Linked DNA regions of Coturnix japonica. The protein of the gene in region 1 purifies or fractionates together with the protein of each later gene. This does not show direct contact. Links are inferred from orthologs where the notes say so. Each region holds a gene or a part of one and is shown on either strand. Other genes may lie near its edges. The genes, in order: MAEA and RMND5A.

Region 1 (3,822 bases):
AGTACATGAAACATGTCTGCATCTCTGTAAATAACCATTCTGACAAAACTAGTCCAATCTGGCCTGCTTTTCCAGTAAGAGGCTTCCTGTATCTATAAGGAAAAATTGGCTGATGAAATGCAAGCTGTGAATGTGATATGCCTGGCACCATTTCTCTGCTTTTTAAGTTTGCCTCGGGGAAGTCTAAGACTGAATATATTCAGCTGTTCTAACAGCTGAAAATGCCACCTATTCCAGAGAGTGGTTTGGTTCACTGCAGCTACTCTAACATTTGTCATACTTAGCATTTCAGTTGTATGATTTTCTGCATTTTGCTGTGAAGTCTCCATAAAAGTGAACTTGTTCCAAACTGGTGTGTTAATCAAATATTTGATAGCGGCTTGTTGCTTGTGTATTGAGTTATGGTATCTCACAGAGTATCTTCTTTAACAAAGTGTGAACTGTAACAGCATGATATGTTTATGCAGCTCAGAAATAACTTCTGGTAGTGCCAGTTCAGAGTGAATCTTATTCATATAATTTGGAAACAAACTAAATGCTTTTTGAGATATATATGGGAAAAAATAACTTGCTAGCCTAGAAGATCTTAAATCTTCCTGGGTTGTGTTATCCTTGGTTGGTACAGATGTGTAAAGCAGCTTGCAGTGAAGTAGCAGAGGTACAAGGCTTGCTCCAGACAAACTTGATACCAGATGCTCCTCTTTAAACATATCTACTTCCATTAAGCAATGGAGGAACTATATACTATAGACATTGGCATAGTCCACTGATGTAAGACAAGCATTGTGGATACCAAGTATTCTTGGAAATGTGGATTTACACCCAGCTGGTGAGATCTTGTCCATTTCCTCGCAAAGCTCCAAGATGTCATCTTTATTTCTTTTTCCTAGTTCTGGTGCATAAATGGGTTTAGAAGAGTCTGTCTTGGCACATGGAGATGCGGTGTTCACAAAATTGTTACAGCAAATTTTAAGTAAAGTCCTTTAAAGATGTCTCTGAAACAGTCTTTTATATCTCCGTGCTCCAGTTGGTTAAATGGATTGCTGTGTAAAATATCAGTATGATTTAACAAGCTGTGCTTTCCTTTTTCTTTTCTATTAAAGGACTTAGTAAATATTGAGATGTTTTTGACTGCTAAAGAAGTGGAAGAGTCATTGGAAAGACAAGAGACTATGACTTGCTTGGCTTGGTGTCATGATAACAAATCCAGGCTCAGAAAAATGAAGGTATGAAAACAATGTCAATGTTTTGCCTAAGCAGCGGTTCTCTAAAGTATTTGGTTATTTGATATGGTCAATTTGGTTTAAATTATAGGTTGTGAATAAAGCCATATGTAAAAGTAAGGGAAGTAAGTACAAAATGTATTTGTTAAGGTTACTGGTGCTGAGCTAGCCCAAATGAATGCCAAACTTTAATGCGATGTGTGTAGTAGTGTCTCAGAGCATGTGAATCTGTGTGTATAGCACTCAGTATCCAGCTGAGAATGTAGCTCATAGTTCATATATGAACAGTGAGACTAATTTGTAAGCCTGTGTCTGAGAGGAATATCATATGGATTTGTCTTAATATTTTTGAAGTGCAATATATGTAAATATAAAACTAAGCAGACTTGAGTGAAGAAGTAGCTTTTTATGAGGGAAGTACTGAGGACCTTCTTGCAAAAATAAAAGCAAGTCTTATCGAGTAACAAACACGGTAAGTTGACTTCTAGCTATTGAGTACTGAGTGTGACCTGAACATGCTATTTCACTGTGTTCCTGTGCAGTTGGTTTAAATTTCCTTGACTCTTAAATTCTACATTTAAAAACAACGTTATAGTCTCTTTCAGGGCTTGCAGAAATCTGTTTGACTGTATTAATCAGAATCTCTACTTCCTTCAGTGGTTTTGGTGTTTTCAAACTAAGCTTTCTTTAAGGAAAAGATATTTAAGTATCCTTAAAGATAAGCAATGAGTGACATTCTCTGTCAATCGGGCACCAAAATGAGAATGAACCAAAGATGGGACACAAGAGTAAAATGACCAGTGATTACCCTAAAGAAAATGATCTTTTAATGGAAAAACCATTAAAGGAAAACCAGAATTGGCATGTAAACAGCATTGCATAGCTATACCACTGGGAAAACATATGTATCTATATAATTTTAATACAGCAAGTTATGGAAGAAATTAACAGCCGAATATCTTTTTTCATCCCTGATCTTTGCCAAACAAGTAAGGATAAAAATTTTCCCTGTCATCCTTTGAGAATGGAAGAAAAATACTGCAAGCCCTACTCAGACAGTCTCTGCAGATTGGGTTTTCTTGGGGGATGGTAGGGGAGAGCTGTGAGACTTTTCTTTACTGCTGAAACATGTTAATGAAATAACTGAGCCATTGGGATTGGTATCATTAACAATTTGGAAAGTTTTATTAATTTTCTTTAATAGAAACCAACATAACCAATATTCTAAATAAGGCTTTTGTGTAGATCTGAACAAAAGATCTTGAGTTCTATTTGAAAATTGCAAATAAAAAGAAATCTTAGTTCTTTGCAAACCATGGACTTGAGCACAGAGAAAGGTGTACTTGGAAAGTAACGTACTTCCCACTCCTTAAACAAATGTACCTTAACAGGACAGAACGTATCACTTTAAGCAGCTGACATTTCTAATCTCAAGACAAGAAATTGCTGTAATGTGCACATCAGAGACCCCATGCAGTTAATTAACTGAAATTTGGAGTTGCTCAAATTCCTCCTGAAGTCACTGAGGGGTTTTGGATGGTATTGTACTGATGGATGATAAACAAAAGGCAACTGTTCATCAGAAGCTTTGGGGAACAGAAAATAGATTTGCCTAACAGAGCAACTCAGTGTAATTCAAAAACACAGTTATTTTTTGGGATTCAGAAAGGGTTCTAGTTTTTGGTTGTTAGGGTAATAAAATAGTTGACTGTGTCCTTATATAGAGGCATAATGGCTTGTTCTTTTAGGAGGGAGAACCTTTTTAATTCTATATATATATAAAATTTTTAATACAGAATTTTTTGTGAACTGATGATGAAATTTGATTTAAAGAGACACTGTCAATTTCATTAAGCTTCAAATTATATTTTCCCCAAGCAGGTAAATGTCACTTGGTTTCCTTGTTTGAGATTTGTTTTCAGCATGGCTTTTAGATGTTTTGACAACAGCAGTGGGTTAGAAGCTTGGAAAAAAGGGAGCTGGGGAGAGAAGGACCACAGCAGTCTAGACTCAGTGCTGCTTTTCATAAGAGGAGGGTGCTTTCAGAATGAGTTTAAAGACTTATTTCTTCCTTGCAGTCTTTTGGGTCAATCTCTCATGTCTTAAATCGGCCCCAACCTTCTACTGAGTTATTGCTTTTAACTTTAAGATAGTACTGAGAACTCACCTACTACTCTTACTTGCATCCCAAAAAATGATGATTTCAGTCATCAAGGAAATGTTCACTTTTTGTAAATACTGAAGTTTGGAAGGAGCTTTTTGTTTGCTTTTAGGGAATTGTGTTGCTGTCTTGTCTGTAGACAGCATTTCTACTTTCTCTGCATGAATACCTAAAAGCAAGCAAACAAGGTTGCATGTAGTTAACACTTCTTTGTTGTGCACACATAGTATTTAACATCTGGAGAAAAGCATGGTTTTGACACCATCTGAGACCCTGTCTTGTCTTTGATTTCAGAGCTGTCTGGAGTTCAGCCTAAGGATTCAGGAGTTCATTGAACTCATTCGACAGAACAAGAGACTGGATGCTGTGAGGTATGAAAACAGGATGTTTTACAAATGTTTCTTACAGCAATAGAATGCTTCATCAGTAATGTGACTG
Region 2 (3,822 bases), about 1.0 Mb from region 1:
ACCTTTCTGATGGTTTAGGGCAAATGGCTGGAAGTTCTTCGCGTACTGAAGTGCTTCTCTTTGATTTGCTGTTCCTCCCATCAATAAACTAATGAAATATAACCTGTGTAGTTTGAACTCCAGCGAACTATTTTGTGCCATAAGCATTTCTCTGTTGGATACTGCCCACCTGGAAGAAACGAGGAGGTACAAAAGGACACGGAACAGGAGTAATTAGATGTCAGCCCACACGATATCAAATTATTACAATTATCAAGCATCTATTTCAAGATGACTGTTCCTTGAACTTAGCCTACATGGAGCACAGAAAAAGAGTTAAGATCTTTTACAAGTAAGAGTCATGGTGCACACACAATATATGTACAACATGCTGCATAGGTTAGCCTCTGCCTTCTAACACAGCAACTGGAACGCAAAACTGATTTAGACATAATAGAAGGTAGAAACATAGGAATGAATTTCAGCTATTTGAATTAATAGCACTGAACCTTAACAATTACAGTCTTCTGCTGCATGCTATACAGCTTTGACCAACACTGTCAACAACACGTTTTTCAACTTCCTCATTCCCCAAACATCATCTGCTGAGCCACTGTGTTTATGTGTACGTTGCCCTGGAGAGGGGAAGTTCATCTATGGAATCATCAAAGAACAAGTCCATGCACTGCAGGTACAAGGGGAAGAGAAATCAGTCTGGATACAATACTTGGCTCTGCTGAAAACCTGATCTGTGTTATTTTCAACTGGTTGCAATAGAGACTGTTTTTCCAAACTAGCTTTCAGGCAATCTTTCTGGCTTTTTTGTACTCTGAGTGGCAGCACTGATTTGGATGAGAAGAAAGCAAATACAGAAGCAAGGCCTGAGGTGTTTGGACTAGCGTGTTCCATTCCCATTCAAAGGATTTGCAATAGAAAGAGAAAAAGCAGAAAATGATGGTTAAAACATTTAACTCACATGCTCCCCACCACAGTTTAACATCGTCAGTAATCACAACACCTGTCTTCCTAACGCCTATCAAAATGATGCTCAGAGCACTTTCAATTCTGTGACTCAAATCTACCTGAAATTTTTGAAGTACATTGCACACTATACAAACCACAGCTCTCCTCTAGATCCTATGTGGAATTGAGTTGGGATGAATCTTACAAAGCCTAACGAAGATTAAATGAGCTTAATCCACATCCCAAAGGTCACAATGAATACCAAAACCTCTCTGCTTTACAGACACAGAGGCAGAGAGTTTTTGCCCTGAAAAGTCACACTATAAGCAGAAACGAGGCAGGGTGGGGGAGGGAAGCCAGCATACAAACTGAACTAACAATACACTCCATTCTTCATCTAATTCAGCTGTCTAGGGAATAAGGCTTCCTTTGAAGAAGGACCATTCCTTCTCCTTTGTTTGAAAAATATTTAACACATTGCAGGAATGAAAAGCCATGGCTAAGTTGCAACGAATAAGACACAGGGCCTGGGTAATCTGAGCTAAAATGAACACAGTGAGTTGAGGTATATAGACACACAAGCAATAATTTACTGCTCCTCAGAGAGAGAGCATCCTTTACTTTAGGTTTGAATATCAGAGCACCCTGCATGTATCGTAGATGACAATGACCTCTGAACTGACACACACCTGAGCTGGTATTAAGATCTGGACTGAAACACATTTTCAATGTTTTGTTCCATGCCTTTCACATTTAAAAGGTTGCTAAAAAGCTATTCTTGCTTTTGAGTAAGCTTACCAAAGCCACAAAAATAGGCTGAGGGTTGGTTTGCTACTTTGTTGTTTTTAAAATAAAAGCTGTTCTGATTTGTACCAAATAGATATGTACCCACTCCTGGAAACTATAAGACAGTAGTTCATGAGATATTCCATCATCTTTCCCTTACAGAAGCATCCTACGTGTCTAATGGTTGTGAAGTCTATTAAGGTGATGAAAACATCTTAGTCTAAGGCTGATCGATAACATCTCAGCCACTCTCAGACTTCAGGTAATGCTGAATGCTCAGACAGAACCTGCAACTCTTGGACTCACCAAGTTGTTTTGCTCAGATCACACTTTCAGCCCACATTTCCCCTTGTAGCCCACACACCAGAAACACTTCCTGGCCACCAGGGCCATATCTCTGTCCCAACACTAATGACCACCTACCTGGCAGCAGTAGCCCTTACAGGTCATAGCTATTCTTTCACTCCCTCTTCCCAGCCTTTATCTACACTAAACAGGGAACTGTCTTGAGGAAAAAGCGATACAGTTGATCCTAAATCTAAGTTTTGCTCACCACCGGGGCTCAGTGAAGCAAAGAAGACTTGGTGATACCCAACACCTTTATTAAGTCCTATTATCCTCAACAGCTAGACCTTTGTGCATAACATTCTATAGTGTTTCACTGTAAGTACAGTAAAGAACCATCATGACAGATCCCTGGTTAAGTTTCCTCCCCAAACCTTCAATTAACTCTTAATCCTTTGTGGTTGGACTTAATAATCTTTAAGGTCTTTTCCAACCTGGGCAATTCTATGATTCTATTACTCTTAAGAAAGAGACCCTTAGTTAAGCATTGACCACTGGGAGGAACAACAAGGGAACAACTGGGAAACGTTTGCTCAATAATGGGATGTCACAAAGAACAAATGAGGACACACCAAAACAAAGATTAAATATTTAAAGTGAAAAACTATGGATTTAATAAAAGAATTTTTAAAAAAGAGGAAAAAAAAGAGCAGACTCACTCTAACGCAGGTCTCAGAACTCTAACTTTTAATGCTTCCAATATTCGATTTAATTCCACAAATGGTTCTTTCTGACTCTGATCTATTGATAGACCAGATTCCTGAAAAACAAAGGCACGCTTCAGGTTAAAGCCTATAAAAGACACAATTAAACTACTGTTTTCCTGACAGTTTCAATATTCCCCTGGAAAATTAACATTCAGATAAGGATGCTACCACAAAGCACAACGCTCCACATTCAATACCATTCAACATCCACACTTATCATTACCTGACACAGTTCCTCGGCCACATCCAACATCCCCTGCCGGAAGAAGTGCTCCACCATCACCTCGTTGAGGATCCGCTGGCTGTCAGCCTGCCAGCACCCATCTATCCCCACGCTGCTGATGTCAGAGTCGAAGTTCTGAAAGGTACAAATTAACATTTAATAGGTTGGAACAAAGAGCCCCGTGTAATTTTGCTCGCATTACGCAGGACACCTATGTCTCCACTCCGGTGCTTTCTGCCTATTACTCAGTTTGCCCTTAATTACCTCCTGTTCAAAGTGAAATGTATCTGTCAGCTGCTTCATTATCTCCTGTGTACAGAAGACATCCTTTGGCTTGCTCATCTCACGTCTCAATATTATCCACTGTAAGGAACTACACTGACAAATTACAAGTTAGCTAGCAAATGAGAAATGGAGTTAACTAATAAAGACTGCAATGGGTTTCTGCAGAAAGTATCTGCAGAAAAGAGTTTTCCATACATGAAAACTGAACAGCATAAAGAACAGAAGACAAAAATCGCCCACGTCAAAATCAGAATAGCATTATCAATGCATCACTGTCACTACAGGGCACCAAATTAGAAGTAAAAGTTTTAACTCGACAATTTTTGACATAATTGGGGGGGGGCAGACAATGCTGGAAAAGGAAAATGTCACTTCTCCCCAGGCTCCCAATGACTATGAAATCCACATCTCTGCAGATCTCGATATACCGGCACCTGAACTTTGAAGATCTGAGAGTGTTTTTGCAGATCTAACCCCAGTGATCCCACTGCTGCGTATTTTTAAGTCAGTGGCCTCCGGACATGTTCCAGGAAT

The links.
Region 2: the proteins of MAEA (region 1) and RMND5A purify together in Homo sapiens (affinity purification with mass spectrometry; 5 studies listed by BioGRID and IntAct, counting the BioPlex papers as one, with this or other methods). This does not show direct contact. The link is inferred for Coturnix japonica from reciprocal best matches to the Homo sapiens genes MAEA and RMND5A.

Annotation. Positions count from the first base shown.
Region 1 is NC_029519.1:76,606,823-76,610,644, reverse strand, and holds part of MAEA (E3 ubiquitin-protein transferase MAEA), read left to right. Parts: intron 1-1,103; coding exon 1,104-1,226; intron 1,227-3,678; coding exon 3,679-3,755; intron 3,756-3,822.
Region 2 is NC_029519.1:77,639,661-77,643,482, reverse strand, and holds part of RMND5A (E3 ubiquitin-protein transferase RMND5A), read right to left. Parts: exon of another isoform or gene 3,723-3,822; intron 3,377-3,722; exon of another isoform or gene 3,346-3,376; coding exon of another isoform or gene 3,268-3,345; intron 3,139-3,267; coding exon 3,004-3,138; intron 2,834-3,003; coding exon 2,733-2,833; intron 170-2,732; coding exon 3-169; intron 1-2.